Bombyx mori: one gene and its partners. The protein of the gene in region 3 purifies or fractionates together with the protein of the main gene of each other region. This does not show direct contact. Links are inferred from orthologs where the notes say so. Each region holds a gene or a part of one and is shown on either strand. Other genes may lie near its edges. The genes, in order: exocyst complex component 2, exocyst complex component 3 and exocyst complex component 8.

What was found.
Region 1: the proteins of exocyst complex component 8 (region 3) and exocyst complex component 2 purify together in Homo sapiens (affinity purification with mass spectrometry; 7 studies listed by BioGRID and IntAct, counting the BioPlex papers as one, with this or other methods). This does not show direct contact. The link is inferred for Bombyx mori from reciprocal best matches to the Homo sapiens genes EXOC8 and EXOC2.
Region 2: the proteins of exocyst complex component 8 (region 3) and exocyst complex component 3 purify together in Homo sapiens (affinity purification with mass spectrometry; 5 studies listed by BioGRID and IntAct, counting the BioPlex papers as one, with this or other methods). This does not show direct contact. The link is inferred for Bombyx mori from reciprocal best matches to the Homo sapiens genes EXOC8 and EXOC3.

What each region holds. Positions count from the first base shown.
Region 1 is NC_085121.1:12,815,630-12,821,062, forward strand, and holds the end of exocyst complex component 2, read left to right. Parts: intron 1-1,181; coding exon 1,182-1,369; intron 1,370-2,186; coding exon 2,187-2,246; intron 2,247-2,827; coding exon 2,828-2,912; 3' UTR 2,913-4,050; downstream 4,051-5,433. Other genes in the region: ATP-binding cassette sub-family C member 4, read right to left, coding at 4,068-4,091. UniProt on the Homo sapiens protein: Component of the exocyst complex involved in the docking of exocytic vesicles with fusion sites on the plasma membrane.
Region 2 is NC_085118.1:10,549,717-10,554,879, reverse strand, and holds the end of exocyst complex component 3, read left to right. Parts: intron 1-256; coding exon 257-436; intron 437-1,218; coding exon 1,219-1,611; intron 1,612-3,273; coding exon 3,274-3,522; 3' UTR 3,523-3,612; downstream 3,613-5,163. Other genes in the region: uncharacterized protein LOC101740585, read left to right, coding at 4,184-4,223. UniProt on the Homo sapiens protein: Component of the exocyst complex involved in the docking of exocytic vesicles with fusion sites on the plasma membrane.
Region 3 is NC_085122.1:6,418,050-6,424,748, reverse strand, and holds exocyst complex component 8, read left to right. Parts: upstream 1-2,359; 5' UTR 2,360-2,618; coding exon 2,619-4,664; 3' UTR 4,665-4,906; downstream 4,907-6,699. Other genes in the region: vacuolar protein sorting-associated protein 33A, read right to left, coding at 5,543-5,826. UniProt on the Homo sapiens protein: Component of the exocyst complex involved in the docking of exocytic vesicles with fusion sites on the plasma membrane.

The DNA of each region.
Region 1 (5,433 bases), on a different chromosome or scaffold from region 3:
AGGGGTTGATCGTAGAGGGGTGAAAATTTCAAAGTAAGATGAAGTTTTTTATTCTAAGTCATAACAAAATAAAAACAAAATTCTTACAAAAAAATTTAAAGTTTTTAATTAGCAAATAAAGAATAAGGGTTGATCGTAGAGGGGTCAAAATTTAGGGTTGTATGTATTTTTGTATGCTGTATCATAAAAACATAAAAACAAAAATTTTTGTCTAAAAAATAAAAAAATAAATTTAGGGTTGGACCACCCTTAACATTTAGGGGAATGAAAAATAGATGTTGTTAGATTCTCAACCCTGACCGATATGCACGCTAAGATTCACGAAAATCGGTCGAGCCGTTTCAGAGGAGTATGGGAACGAACAATGTGACACGAGAATTTTATATATTACGAGAATTTTATATATTACGAGAACTTTATATATTACGAGAATTTTATATATTACGAGAATTTTATATATTACGAGAATTTTATATATTAGATTAGATTATTTTGTCCGTGCTGTTTGAGTCATAAATAATGGCTTAGGTGGGGAATATATATTTTTTTTATTATCGTCATGTAAGCGATTTTGAAGGATGGGTAGGACAGCTGGTTCGCAAATAGTATACTATCGCCTCGTTAAGCGATTATCGGGGAGTGCACTCTGAGCGGTCCCCCTACCGTGGTTCGTGAGGAATGTCGAGCTACACGACGACCTTGACCTCGAATCAACCCGGAAACGCATGAAGTCAGCCTCAGACCGCCGCCGCTAACTGCTCCCCGAATCCTGATTACGCAGGAGCCAGTCCCAATCAGATCCAATAACCCTTGCATTAGACGTCTTTAGCTTAAGGATTCTGTGCACGTTTAGGGACCCTGGCAACCGTATTTGTGGAACTCGGCAAAGATTTCGACGTGCAACCTAACCTAAACATCAGCCCGCTGAGCTTCTCGCCGGATCTTCTCAGTGGGTCACGATTCCGATCCGGTAGCAGATTCATTCGCGAAGCAGCTACTTTTGAGTTGTTAAATCTCCCTTGGAAGCGCTCGGGTAGATGTTAGCAAATCCCACCCTTCCTTGCTGAGCTCTTGCTCGCCCACCTGTCCTTATGGAACTGGAAAGGCCTCCGGGCCACCAGTATTCACACAATCATAAAAAAGGCTGGTCCACCCGTCTTATGTATAATAACGATCGTCAGACTGACAGCGTGTGTGGCGCGTCGGCGGGGCGCTACGTGCGCGACATCTGCGAGACTGTGTGCGAGGAGGTGGCGCGGCTGGCGGCGTGCGCTCCCCCCGCGCTGCCCCGCCCCGCCGCCTTCCGCGCCACGCTCGAGTACACGCTGCTCTCCGTCGCCATCAGGGACCACCTCACCAGGAAGGCAGAGTCAGTTAACTATTTTCATTTGTTTCTTTATTAGCGATGCGGCCAGAGGAACAATACCCGATCCGGTGGATCGAATGGTAAACAGTCGATGTCGCCCTAAACACGTAATTTCGGATCCTCTCGATCCGGTAACGTTGCTTTTAGGTACCTCAAGCACCGATCATCGTTTGCGTTGAACCCGTCGCTTGCGACGACGGGCTTAACGTGTAAATTAACCCACAGACACAGCCCACTGAGTTTCTCGCCGGACCTTCTCAGTGGGTTGTGTTTCTGATCCGGTGGTAGATCATTTACTGGTGGTAGGACCCCTTGTGAGTCCGCGCGGGTAGGTACCACCAACCTGCCTATTTCTGCCGTGAAGCAGTAATGCGTTTCGGTTTGAAGGGTGGGGCAGCCGTTGTAACTATACTGAGACCTTAGAACTTATATCTCCAGGTGGGTGGCGTATTTACGTTGTAGATGTCTATGGGCTCCAGTAACCACTTAACAACAGGTGGGCTGTGAGCTCGTCCACCCACCGAAGCAATAAAAAAAAATTCAAAGAAATTTTACATTAAACATTTTCGTATAGACCTCAAATAGAAAAACTGAAATCATGATTGTTCGACCTGATGTCTGTAATCTTCAGAGTTAGGATGCTGGACCACAAAGTTGACTATTTAAAAAAGGTGGTTTGAAAACACATTTGAACCGAACGATAATTCTTAAGGCTAAAAAATGTATATTATAAATCGTTGACAAACAATTTCAGTCATAAGAAACATTATGTTTTATTGCGTAAAATATTTAATTTCAATAATTGTCTTCTCGGTTGCAGAAACTACTTAAAGGAGGCTCTAGCGGCCGTGCCGCCGCTTGAACTTGAAGAAGATAAAATGTGAGTAAAACTATTGATCAGATTCACATTACGCAGTGAACAGAATTTTATGGCGGGCGTAGTTTGTATAGGAACTATTTATCTATACTTCTATACTAATATGTATTATAAAGAGGAAAGATTTGTTTGTTTGTTTGTATTGAATAGGCTCCGAAACTAAAGGACCGATTTGAAACATTCTTTCACTGTTTGGGAGCTACACTATTCCCGAGTGACATAGGCTATAATCTTTTTTGAAAAAAAAAACTGGGGATCCTTACTAAAGCTCCAATAATATAACCCAAGGTGTAAACAAATTACTTAAAATATTATTTACATCGCGTGCCCTGCGAAAATTATTGATGATAGAATAAAATAATGTACTACGACTTTGTAGAACATCTTATTATTTACAAAAGTGTCGCGACAGAATATGTCTAACTATTACAGTCATGCCGCAATAAGCGTTCTTTTATTTTTAAAAATAACACAACGTCAAATATCGTTGAAATTTTTGTTAAAGACCCGAGCGGAGCCGGAGCGGGCCGCTAGTTAATTATATTTTAACTATATCACTCACCGTACCACTTCTTGCGTTACAGACGTATGCAAAGTATTGTACAGGATTTCAAGAAACGAATGGCACTTCAGCTGGCGAGTTTGAATTGTAACACGGAGACAGTTTAATTTACGAATTCACTTCAGTATTATCAAAGAATTCATTTTGAATGACGAAATTAAATATGATAATGGCTTTTGAATAGAATTAAAGTGGACACAGCGAATATGTTTATTTTATTTACATTTGTCTTATTTTAATGTAGAAAATAGTTATTTTAATCTTAAATGCATAAAAATACAGGGGTGGACAGACGTTTGTCTTCAAAATCTAGCAAAAGTAGCAAATGTTATGATGGCGGAATTATTTGCACACAAACCACAGACCATGAAATCACAAGAAACCACAGACTTATAAAATGTTTGAAACATTACAGTGCAAAAATTTTTCTGGGTCAATTTTTTTTGCTTCTAAGACGTGTAATCTCTGTTATATCAGCTGTAATATGGAAAACTTTTGCTAAAAAAGTTTTTTTTTCGGAAATGTCGTTTCTTTTGTATTTCACTTTGGAAAGTTCTTTTTTTTTGTATGAGAGATTGAAATTTTAAAACCAATCGCATAAATTTTAGGAAATCTCATCTATAACTAATATCTAATTCGTGAAACAAAAAATAAGATCAAAATTTTAAACCATGGCAGTGTTGATAACAAACACTATTAAAAGAATTGAGTCTTCCACCTCTTTCTTGAGCCTCAGTGCCATGCAACACCAGACTGTCACAGAGTTCGTTAATTAACCGATATTTATAAAAAATCACTAAAGTCCGGCCGCTGGAAGAATGCACTCGTGATTTTACGATTTTTGTTACGATGTAACTTTGAAGTAGGGTTTAATTTACGTTTATTATTTTTTTGACCTACAAATGTATAATTATGATTAATAAGTAAAAGGTTATGTCAATTTAAAATAAATATCATAATCTTGCGCTAAATTAAAGTTAAATCTTTCATTCCCCGACCCTACCTCTACCGTGTAGATGTCAATATAAATTGTCACGATAAATTTACACGAAATGTCACTATGAATTAATTCTCCGTCTCCACCTCTACCATACCGTGTAGATGTCAATATAAATTAAGATTTTTTTTAAATGTATATTTATTTATTCATATATTTAAAATCAAAGGAAACACTAAGCAAAGTATTTTATTATTGTTTCTATAACATAACATTATTCATAATAAACGATTATATTGTTATCTAAATCAATGTGTTTTTATTTCTAAATCTTGCTCTTCTTGTAGTTCTGAAAATTAAATACCTATTAAAATGTTTTTATTTTATTTATTTTTTATTGCCTTTGTAGGCAGACGGGCATACGGCCCACCTGATGGTGAGTGGTTACCGTCGCCCATGGACTTCAGCAATGCCAGGGGCAGAGCCAAGCCGCTGCCTATCGCTAAATGAATAAGAATTCGTCATGTGATACTATTCTACAATAGCGAAACTGCCTTAACGCTATTGCCAATATTTTGAACAATGTCAATACATTCCTGGATACTGCCAGCCGCACCTCTGCTTGAACAGGCTTCATGTTACGTACATAAGATATTCAGAGTAACTAATCTTGGACCATCTTTAAACCAACAGCTCCTTATTTGAAAGGTATCGGAAATGTTCTCGTACCAAATATTTCACAATTTTCATTGTAGACAATATAAATATATTGTACCCAACAGCAAATTGTTTAAAAACAGCATCGAATTTATCAGTAAAACGACGTAGCAATTAACGTTTCAAAATTGGAGACCAGGAATAGTGGACTTGTAGAGTGAATAAGTATATTATTTGTGGTGTGAAATGCTCCTACCCCTCTGGAATTATCTGGGATTTTTTATTTCTTTTAATTTTTAACCTGCGCTCACCGATTATGTGTAAACTTTATTTTTACATTTAAATATTACATTCCTTTTTTTTTATGAATGAAAGATTACTGGTGGCCCGGAGGCCTTTCCAGTTTCATCAGGTCAGGTGGGCGAGCAAAGGCTCAGCCTGGAGGGGTATTACATTCCCCCCACCAGACCTGTATATAGATGTCACTTGTTTCTGAAAATATTCTAGAATACTTGCTATTTTTATTCTGGAAAACGTCACTTTGTATATATGATATTTGGTAAATTTTATTATCGCTATTATGTTCGTAAAACTTTTTTTTGTTGCCCTTGTAGCCAGACGAGCATACGGCCCACCTGATGGTGACTGGTTACCGTCGCCCATGGAATTCAGCAATGCCAGGGGCAGAGCCAAGCTGCGGCCTACCGAAAAGCTAAACAGTTAGACGTAGCTATATAATAAACAAGCGACCCGCCCTCGCTTCGCTTCGGAAACTGTAATTTATTATTGATTTCTCCGCTATTTAATGGATGTAATTTATTATACATACAAACCTTCCTCTTCAATCACTCTATCTATTAAAAAAAACCGCATCAAAATCCGTTGCGTAGTTTTAAAGATTTAAGCATACATAGGGACAGACAGATATAGGAACAGAGAAAGCGACTTTGTTTTATACTATGTAGTGATGACTTAACAAATTTTTAGCACGATTGTCATCTATATATATAAAAATGAATTGCTGTTCGTTAGTC
Region 2 (5,163 bases), on a different chromosome or scaffold from region 3:
TGAAGGTGGGGCAGCCGTTGTAACTACATATATTGAGACCTTTTTTTTTTTATTGCTTATATGGGTGGACGAGCTCACAGCCCACCTGTTGTTAAGTGGTTACTGGAGCCCATAGACATCTACAACGTAAATGCGCCACCCACCTTGAGATATAAGTTCTAAGGTTATCTAACTATACTTGAGACTTGACTATATATAAAAAACTTATTAATCGAGGGCCTCGTCAATTTTACGTGTAAATATGTGTTGCAAGTAGAACGCGCATTTCTCGGACCGTTCCCGCGTGGTGTACTTCACGCACCACATGATCACGATCGTGAACAACAGCGAGCAGATGGCGCGCCTGGCGCAGCAGACGCAGGCCCGCCACTGGCCGCCCGCCCTGCACGACCCCGCCGCCGAGGCCAAGTTCGACAACATGCTCGCCACCTTCAACGTAAGTCTGTTTCCCCTCTATCACCAACCCACATCTACCAACCGTAGTCAAACCCATAGACCTTAAAAAGATGCGTGGTGTCGTGGGACACCGGATAGGAATGAATGTCATTATTATAAAAATATTAATTTTAAGTTCTATTCGAGGTAAAAAGAAAATAAAACTGGAGATTTCGCGACAAACCACGGTCATTCGGTAACGTGCGAACTTATTGTGGTACACTTCATTCTCGCTTGTTTGCATTAGAGTTAGTGTATTGCGCAAACGAACGCTCTGAGATCGTGGTCAATGAATGATAAAAAAATACGTTATTTTTTGTACGTTATCGCAAAGTTAAGTGGTACACTGTGTGCATTACTAATAAAAATCTTACGTTACGAACGCGTTTTCCCTGTTAGGGTACCTCTCCGCATCGTCCCATAAGGAACTTCATTCCAAAAACCTTATAATTTAAATCAGTTATACTTCTAAAGTCACATTAGTAAAATTTAGAACTGTAGTAGAGAACAGAAATTTTCAACGAAAATTTGTTTGAACGAAATGTATTGTCTGCTTTTGTCGAATTTACCGACAAAAACTATATATTTAATAAATTTATTTTTTAAATTTAATGTGCTGCGTGGTGTTTCAGGTTTTACCAATTCATTGAAGATACGAGTTTTTTTTTTCTCTGCTTTTAAGTAATATTTTGAAGTACAGAAACGATCACAAGTCAAATAAAATTGAACTAATTGTTACTAGCACACCTAATATGTGTACTATTTGTTTGTCCTCCGACACAGAATTTGCGAGACGAAGCTGCTAAATTTCTTCTTGAAGAAGCATTCCTCGACCTTGAAGTTCATTTTGATGACCTGTTCACTTCCAAATGGCTGCCTTCCAGCATTCCAGTAGATACCATCTGCATTACACTCGATGACTATTTCCAAGATTACAACCATTTGAGAGAGAAAAATTTCGAATATGTGATAAACGAAGCTCAGAACTTAGTTTATAGGAAGTACATAACGGCAATGTTGTCCAAGAAAATGGCATTCAAAACTGTTGAGGAAGCACAACAAGCTGCCAATAAGATATTGAAAGAAGGAAAACAAATACGGTCCTTCTTCAAGAAGATAGCGCCCGAGGGTGTTAATGTAGATTGGCCATTTGAAGTCATCTCTATGCTTGCTGAGGTAATTCTTTTGTCAAAAACTTCTCTTTTTAACTTAATTACTTACTTAAATTATGAAATAATATGAATAATTATGAAAGTTAAAAAAATATAAGCGGAGACATAAAGAGGTGGAACTCTACGAATAAATAACGGTAGAAGCAGCGGCTTGGCGTTGCCTCTGGCATTGTTGAAGGCCATGTGCGACGGTAACCACTCACCATCAGGTGTGCCTTTTTTTTCCTACTTAAGCTGATAGACTTGAGAGGTTATTTTACCGTAACCTTAACTAGTAGGTGAGCTCACGGGGCTCAAACCTGACGAAGTTGCTAACACGAACCCTAGCAAGAGCCGTGCTTCGCCGAAATCTACCACCAGATCGGAAACGCGACCCACTGAGAAGATCCGGCGGTGAAACTCAGTGGGCTGTGTCTGTGGGTGAATTTACTCGTCGAGCCCTTCGTCGCAAGCGACTGGTTCGACGAGAACGATGATCGGTGCTTGAGGTACCTAGAAGCACCCAGGTGTGCCGTATGCTCGTCTGTCTACAAGGACAATAAATAAGAAAAGGCTAATAAACCAGTTGTCGGAACCCATAGACAGCCCATCATAAATATACTCGCTCACCTTGGGACATGCGGTCGAAATCTCCCGCAACTCAGACTGGATTGTAGATACTTCTTTTTAATAGTAAATAATTAAATCGCAATTTTGATTTGATTCATCACAGTTTGGGATTAGTAATATCCATGAGGGACAATAACGACATACCATCGGGTATACATGTTCATTTGGGTTGCACTACAGAGATTCTTATCAGATACTATGTGTACTTCATGGTTTTTTAGTCATCCTGTTATATAAAATAAAGGAAAAAACCTGATAAAGGTCTCGCAAAAATATTAATATTATAATCTCTGCATTTGGAGATCAAAATTATCGTTTGTTCTTTGGCCTAAAAGCTAAGCTTGCTTTAATATTTTGTGACGTCACCTTTTAGTAAAATATGGTATACATATTATATTAAGTGCACTGAATTTCTCACCGGATCTTCTCAGCGGGTCGTGATTCCGATCCTGGCTAGTGTTAGCAAATTCTCTCAGGTTGAGCCCGTGAGCTTACTAACCCGTTCGGTCGTAGCTGGAATAGCCTCTTAGGCTACCAGCGAATAGGTAGGGGGGAAAACAACAGTAATTACTATTCATTACTATACTAGTAATTACTATTCCCACTCAATCAGTTCGTCGCCATCCTTCGCCGCGCTCGCGCGTATCACTTTTTAATTAAATCCAGCGCGAATTATAATTTAGTTTAAAAAAAAAAGGTTCATAGAATCACGTATAACATTGGTGGCAGCGGTGGGATACGAACCCACGTCTCCGAAGAGACTGGTTTTAAAATAAATAAATAAAACGGTATGGATAAGGTTACGGAAAAGCTGATGCAGCAGAAATATGGTAGGGTCTGCATATCTCGTAGTCTCCTGTGAGAAATTGGGGGCGGTGAAGAACCTCGGCCCTGCTCTTCTCCCCTCTCAGGAGGCCCTGGAGTCCGACATTACCGGTCCGTTACCCCCCTCGACCGGGTATCCGTAAATGGATTCCCCAGCGTTAAAAAAAAAGGTCTGCATATCTAGGGTACTGAAGCCCGGATATAACAGAGTAATACAGTGTGAGTCGTGCAGGTGCTGCGGTGTCAAGACATCGAGATGTTGTCGCTGGACCTGCACAGCGTGGTGTCGAAGTGCGCGGACATGTCGGAGGAGCAGCTGGCGCGGCTGGTGTGGCTGCGCGGGGACGTGCCGCGGGCGCGCCTGCGGGACACCGTGGCCGTCGCGCTCGCCTCCCGCCCCGCGCCGCGCCCCACCGCGCACCCCGCACTCTTCGCGCACATCACCTTCAACGACAGCCTGCTCTCACACTTCGCGCGCTGACCTTATGTCTTCGCGCATTTTGTCGCACCTTATACCCTATACACCCATTTAAATTATATTATTTAATATGAATAAATACTTTAATAATAACGTTTGGTATTTATTTTGGCGTTGGTTTTGGAAGGAACTGCAAAGATTTACTAAATAAAAAAATCCATTTTATTTTAAACGACCCTTATTTTTGAGTTAGTATGTTTTAATACATCACTGCTAATTTATTTTTGGATTTTTTTTGTTAATATTGATTATCTAAGTTTGTCGCATTAATACGATATTTATTAATATAATGTAATAAGTAAATATTACTTTTCGTTTACATTAGAATCTATTATCGTGCCGATGTAATGGTCTATTTACACCATGCACCACAAGTTTGAATAAAACATAAACATCAAAAACCTACGAATCGCAAACAGATGTCTCTCGTTCGGTAGGTACTTAGAAAATATAAAAATAATAATTAGGACATTCTTCGGGTTAATGACTCTGGAACATAGGATCACAATGATCGGTATTATTTAGTGTGACTACCTCCGTACCTCGCACGGACTCAAGGCCGGTGTGTAGTCCGAAGGGCGGGCGGCGAGTCTCGCAGTCAGTCGCGTCCAACGCGCCTCGCTCTCGTATCCTCGTCACGCCGAAGTACGCTCCTGGCGTCGATATGTTTCGCGTGTGTTGCTTAATCTTGTTCTTAGTGGCAGGTGAGCAACTGTGTTTACAAAAATTGCGATACCGACTTATCTGACCTTAAACGTTTCTATTCTATACAACACCCGAGTAAATTTGACTTGAATAATAACAATATATTTAATTAATTTAAAGTATTTTAATTGACATCTTCTTTGGTAACTGGCTTTCTCAAGAGAGCGTACGCTCAGAAACCGAATTCGTTTACTAAAAGTCTACATTTCTTTTTAAAGAAACAAAGTATACGTAGCCATGTTAATCAATTGAAACATTTTCAAAATTACTCGCTTCCTATTTTAGTAACGCATAGATTAAGAAGAATTTTCAATTGATTTTGAAATTCTATTTAACCGGCACCTAACAAATTCCATTTATATTTTATATATGTATGTAATACTTAAATTTAATATTAAATATTTTTTGCGATATTGCAAATTTTACATTAGCGTACTATTAAGTGACAAGCAAACTTGTCGTTATTAATTTCATAATATTTACTATTTTTTGATGAAATACATCGAATTTGTTAGTTTTAATATAAAAATCCAACTACATTTGTATTGTAGAAAAATAGGGAATAGTTGTTAAATAGTAGAAAACATTTGATAGCGTCTTGCGTGTTAGTTCCACAGAACGTTCGTTCTACTCGCGGTGGTATTTTTAACATTCCCGGACCGCCTCAAGGTTAGCCAAGATAGTCGCTTATTCATTCGGATATGACCTAATTTTCCACAATAAATTGTTTATAGAATCCAAAACCAAATGCCAAACCATAAATAATCTCCATGCTGCGACATTTTTGGCTCTTTGACGAAAATCGCTATACCATTTGGTGGATTTATGGCGGGAAACTGCTACATACTGTAGATAATATTTACTTCTTTTACTAATTGCCAATGCAGTTCAGGACTGTACTGTCTTCGCAATTTTTGTCGTCAGTAATCATACGTTCGG
Region 3 (6,699 bases):
ATGAATGGTTGATTATTTTTTATTTGTAGAGTTATATTTTTGCTACTTAATGCGGCAATCCTCTCGCGGTAGTGCTAGAGTAATTCTTAATTTATCTAAAATTAAAATTCTGATATACCTAGGGTCTAGGTACTTTGATATTATTTGCAATCGAATCTTTTTTATTCAAACTCTACAAAAACAACGTATTAATACGTTTTGTTTACTGCAAAATTACCGGTTTTGTTATAGGGCTGCGGTTAAATAAACTTACATATCTAGAAAAAAAGAAAATCTAAAGTCCTCGAGTTGAGTCTCGCCGTCTCGCGCCACGTACAGTATTTACAGAGCCCAGAATATTTACCACCAGGATAAGCAGGGCCTGTAACGCAGATTTTACGCAGAAACTACACGAATATGTATGTATAAATCTATAGAATTCCGTAAGTGCCAATGTCTCTCGTTACATATTGAAAACGTCTCATATATTTAAAGGAATTTTGAACAGTATCTTAATTTGCATGCATTAAGACGTGGGCGAGCATTCATTCTCAACTCAACCTTCTATAGGTGCCTGTTTTATTTTCTAGGGATGATAAATAGATACCGAAGCCCATAGACACCAACAACTGAAATACCGAAACCGAAACATTCAAACCTAAACGTATGATTATTTCGTGGTATAAATAGGCAAGGCACCTACCAGTGCAGGCTCACAAGACGCCATACAATCAGTAAGTAAGTTTTTAATGTTGGTAGGTCCTCTTGTGAGTCCGCGCGGGTGGGTACCACCACCCTGCCTATTTCTGCCGTGAAGAGTTTCGGTTTGAAGGGTGCGGCAGCCGTTGTAACTATACTTGAGACCTTAGAACTTGTATCTCAAGGTGGGTGGCGCATTTACGTTGTGGATGTCTATGGGCTCCAGTAACCACTTAACACCAGGTGGGCTGTGAGCTCGTCCACCCATCTAAGCAATAAAAAAATAAAAAGTAAGAAGTACCTTTGGAATAGCTTCAAGTAAATGACTCGAGGGCCTAATGCATTAGATACGGCGTACTCGCATCGAGTGACATCGTCAAGCAGGTATTGAAATCCCTCAGGATGCCTTTTTTATTATAATTTATTTAAGTTTTATGACCCAGCCCATTACCCTGCCTATTTCTGCTGCAAAGCACTCATCGCAGTAGATTTATGGGTGGCAGAATGTAGGGTTAGCTCGCACGGGTAAGGGCCATTATTAAAATCTATTCCTGCCTCGAAGGTGTCATGTGTTCCAGTTTGAAGGGTGTGACAGCCATTATACAATACAAAGCAGACTTTGATACCTTAAGACTTATGTTTCTCTAGGTTGTTTCAGATTGTGATGTCTTTAACACTACTTAACACCAGGTGGGCCCTTAGCTGAATTTTTGGGTGGGTAGGTGTTACGTCTAGAATAGTCTAGATGTTACTTTTCATAACATCCATTAATAAGTTGGATCCAGTTTTATTACTGGTGGTAGGGCCTCTTGTGAGTCCGCGCGGGTAGGTACCACCACCCTGCCTATTTCTGCCGTGAAGCAGTAATGCGTTTCGGTTTGAAGGGTAGGGCAGCCGTTGTAACTATACTTGAGACCTTAGAACTTATATCTCAAGGTGGGTGGCGCATTTACGTTGTAGATGTCTATGGGCTCCAGTAACCACTTGACACCAGGTGGGCCGTGAGCTCGTCCACCCATCTAAGCAATAAATAAAAAAAAAAAATAAAAAAATTAATAGTATAAAAAATACTAATACATAATTACATAACAATATTTTTTTAAATCCCAAATTGAACGAAGTTAATTTAATTATAAAAAAATATATTAAATACATAAGTGGACCATTTATTTTGACTCTAATTGTACGATGGGCAGATGACCCCAAATCTTTTGTCGAAAGCTCACAACTCGTGCCGATTACTATACAGTATGCGCGCGAGTTCATGTACATCGGGGCCGGAGGCGACGCGCAGGGGGCAGCTCGCCCCGCCTCCCCGCGTTTGTTTGACGTCTAGTGTTGTCTTTGACAGTTGTGACGCGCGCTTATCGATACCAAAAACTTACGCTAACGCTATTGTGTTATTTCATGGTGAATAAACCACGAATACTCCGCTTCCAACAAGTTCAGGTAGAAAAAAACCTACACTGATTCGGACTCTGATCTGTTGGTTGTCTTTTCATCTCATAGTAGTTGAATTGGAATTTAAAAAATATTTTTCTCTATTAGGAAGAAATAAGTCATTACTTATCGCATTTATTTTATAATTTGCGAAGTGACCTGGTTACATTAAACCAAATTGACAGCTGTTGACTAAATCGGTAGTTATTATCGACATTACCATAATTAACTAGGTCACAGCACTACCGCATTCCTCAGGATGGACAAGCTCGCGCGTCTACTGTACATAAAATTTGAGAAAACGTTTTGATAGCAACGTTGGCAGCGCGTTGCCAACAAACTGACTTTAAAAGAAGCTGAGATAACAAAACGCATTTTTGACATATCGTTTTGATAGAAAACGTCCTGTCGTTCGATACCTACCTATAGAATCGAATGATGTGCGAGCCAGTGTTTTGTGATAAATACGAAAGAAGTATACAATAAATACATGTGCAACGATGTCCGAGATAGATATGGATAAGTTTGCTGTCCCAGACTTCGTCCCCGAACGTTACGTAAAAGACCTCGCTAGATCCTGCGTCGGAGGGGAGGAGCTACAGCAACAGAAGGAGAAAATACAAAATTTAGCCGAAGAAACCGCAAGTGCCCTAAAGAAAAATGTCTACGAGAATTATATGCAGTTTATCGAGACTGCGACGGAGATATCCCACCTCGAAACAGAAATGTACAAGCTATCGCATTTGTTAAGCGAACAGCGTTCTGTGCTGACTGTGCTCTCCCACGCCTCAATCCTCGGTAACGAGAACGGTTTATCACGCGAGTCTCTTGATAATCACGACGTCGAGGCTGAGAGGGCAGAAGAGGAACGAAAAAATAAATTAAATCTCATTACAGAAAAGGTAGAATCATGCATGAATCTGTTAGATGTCCCAGACCGAACTCTGCTTCATGAAGGTGACTTGCTAGAAATAGATGCAGAAGAAAATACTGCATTACAAAGAATGCATGTATATTTATTTAATGACTGCCTTATGTTAACATCCTGGATTTCTAACAGACGTGGTCCAATGAGATATAAGTTTCAAGTGAGTTACCCAATAAAGAATTTAGCAGTGGTGAATGTAAGAGATTTAGGAACTGTGAAACAAGCATTTAAAGTGTTAGCCTTCCCAGACACCAGAGTATTTCAATGCAATAGTTTTGCGATAAAAAAAGATTGGCTAGACAAATTTGAGATAGCAAAAAAACTGTATATTGAAAAAGAAAATTCTAAACAGAAGAAAAAAGATAGTCAAGAAAAATCAAAATCTGAATCTATTGAATCACCGAGTCTGTCTGTGGAAGAGATGCCATCACCCCAAATTACACCATTGCCTGAGTGGTTGGCTGATGTTACTGAAGAGCTTGATGTTTTGATTGTGGAGAGACATTTTCAAAAGACCTATGAGTTGATGGTTTCAGCTCAAAAAGCTTTAAATACTGAAGATTTTAAAAACCATCCACAAAGGGTTGATATATTGAAAAAAATAGAACAGAAGCAAAAGAGTTTAATTGAAATATTATTGAAAGATTTAGATGTAACACATAATTGGAGTTTGCGAGGAGGTCTCCAATCAACTAGACAACCGGTACTGATACTCAATAAGTTTAATATGACCAGTCAGGCTTGTGACTTGTTTTTGACGATATGCAGTTACACAGTCAAAGTTCATGTGAAAAGGGTGCAACTGGAAGGGTCAATTAACACTTATGTCAAACAAGTGGGTGAAGTGTTTTTTTGCTCATTGAGTGATGCCTTAACAGAGTTTATTTCACTATTTCCTAAAAATAAAATAAGTGCTTTTATAGTCTGGGCTAGTCTGCAACTTAGGATATTGATGAGTCAGATTATAAAACAAGTGTTCACACCTCAGTGTGCATTAGATTCCGTTCAGGATTGTGTTGAGAGTCTAAGGGAACAATGTACATTGTTTTGTCAATTTGGTTTAGATTTAAGATTCCAGTTGAACAGTTGTTTGAGAACACCAATAATAAAAGCTTTGAGAGAATATAAAGAGAAGACTGTTGACTCTATGAAAAATAAAATCACTGAAGACAAATGGACTCCAGTGAATATGCACACCAAAGCAGGTGTCAATAAATTCCTGAAACAAATGGAAACTTTGGGCCTTATATTAGCTAAGTATGTAATTAATGAAACATGGGTAGATTTATCAAGTAGTACCATATGGTTTACAAAGTCTATTGTCACTATACAGAAAATAGGTCTCCAGTTAGTGAACAAAGATATGATGGATAACCTTGATGAATACATTTATACAATATTCAATTCATGGCTTGTCCTCGCATCAGTCAACGATATTAGTTATGCAAAGAAGAATTTCAAATTCATTTTAGAAACAGTGATGCCTTTAATGCTTAGATGTTATAAAGAAGAAGTTGGCTATGATAATGAGAAATTAGTAGCTTTGGCAAAGAACTATGGTGTCAGTATTACACCATCCAAAAACATCACAAAATACACAAGTAATGAATATTTATGAGAATAGTCAATAGTCTATAAATAAGATGTATGAAATTATTTATATTATGCTGAAGCTTTAAATTTGTAATATAATAGAGAGTAAGCAAGCAGAATTATGTTAGTTTATATAAATACTGATCAAATTAAATTTTATGTATATGCAAGTTACGAATATTAAGTTTTAATACAATCATTATTTATGGTGATCTGTTTAAGTGTTCTTTGAAATTGTAAAGACAAGAATAAAATATATTTCCAGTATTATGATTTTTATTACTAGTGCAGTCAATTTTGCATGTTACAAAATATAACTAGAGAAATTATCATTTCTTCGCCCATATTTAACAGCAAATTGAAGCAATAAAATACATGAAGCAACTAAACCTAATTGTATTACAATTTAATTATTTACACATCTATAACAATAAAACAAACAGAGACTTATATTTAATGTGATATATTAAAAAAAGAATCTATATTTTAAATAATAATAATAATATTTACCAGAATAATATTTTTGGTGTATTCTAAATTTGTAAATACAGGAACTTTTTAAGCAAGAAATATCATAGAATACAGCAAATTATATGATACATTGTGTACATTTATCAGTTAATATTATATGTTTCATGCTTTGTGTATTGAAAATTTATTTTACGTTTGCAATTAATTTATTTCATATATTTTTTGACATAATTACATATAAAAGGGATATAATTTGACATCTATACTATTTGGGCTTGTTTTTATTTGGAACACTATTATGTCATAAAAATAAATTCATGACATTATTTCATAATTGAATAAAAATATGATTCAGTCTATTTCTTTTTAATATGACAGAATGTATATTAATATATTATTATATCCTATGTTAAGGATACACCAATTTTTGGCTCAATCGAGTTCCATTAAAGATTCTATGAATGTGGTTCCATTGATTATTTTAGTGGTTAAGATAACAAATTCCACAACCGAATCTTCCTGCTGGCTGATCGTCCTGAGCACTGAGATCTCGTGGTACGTACAGCCTCCAATGAAGAATACGAGCACGACCCGTGGGTTTTCTATTGATGATGAATTCTCACTGGAACCGGAATGGCGACGTGTCATACGAGGTTGTAGGGTTTGTAGCTCGTCCACTGTAGGGCCCGGCAGGAGGCCTAATACGTCTTGGATACCTGTGAAAGTATAATTGTCGTATTTGTTACGTCTTCACACTCAGACCACTGAACCGATTTTGACGAAATTTGATAATGAAATAGTTCGCCTCTTTGTAAAGACTAGGCTACCTTTAATCTCACCACTGAGCATCACTACATAGTATAAAACAAAGTCGCTTTCTCTGTCCCTATATCCCTATGTATGCTTAAATCTTTAAAACTACGCAATGGATTTTGATGCGGTTTTTTTTAATAGATAGAGTGATTGAAGAGGAAGGTTTATATGTATAATAACATCCATTAAATAGTGGAGAAATCAATAATAAATTACAGTTTCCGAAGCGAAGCGAGGGCGGGTCGGTAGTATGATACCTATACGTTTGTTTTTAGTAAATGCACTCTCTTATAATGCACACAGAAGTGGAGCTGAAATTATCCATTAAAATGAATAAAACGCTTGAAGGTATATTCAGGTCTTCCGCCTTTATTGAAATCATAAAATTGATTATAGTAAAAAAAAGAAATGAATAGAAACAGAAATAAACATGGATCAATGTCAAATTTAGATAAACAATATTATTATCACTACTTATGCGTGTTTATGTTAGCTTATATGTTGGTTTATGTGTGTGTGGCTATGTATGTGTGGGCACATTTTATTATTATTATTATGTGTTTTATTTTCAATTATTATTTCACATTGATTTCCAGTTCTTAATAATTGAATTAATTTTTTTTTTAAGCATAATTTAATAGTGTTATTATTACTTATATTCCTAAATACTCAACTATCATATAAATATCATAATTAAAACTAGTTTTACGGTTTAAAGTGAATTTTACTAATGGAAACGTCGGAAACAATGAAATACCGTAAAAATTGTTTTAAAT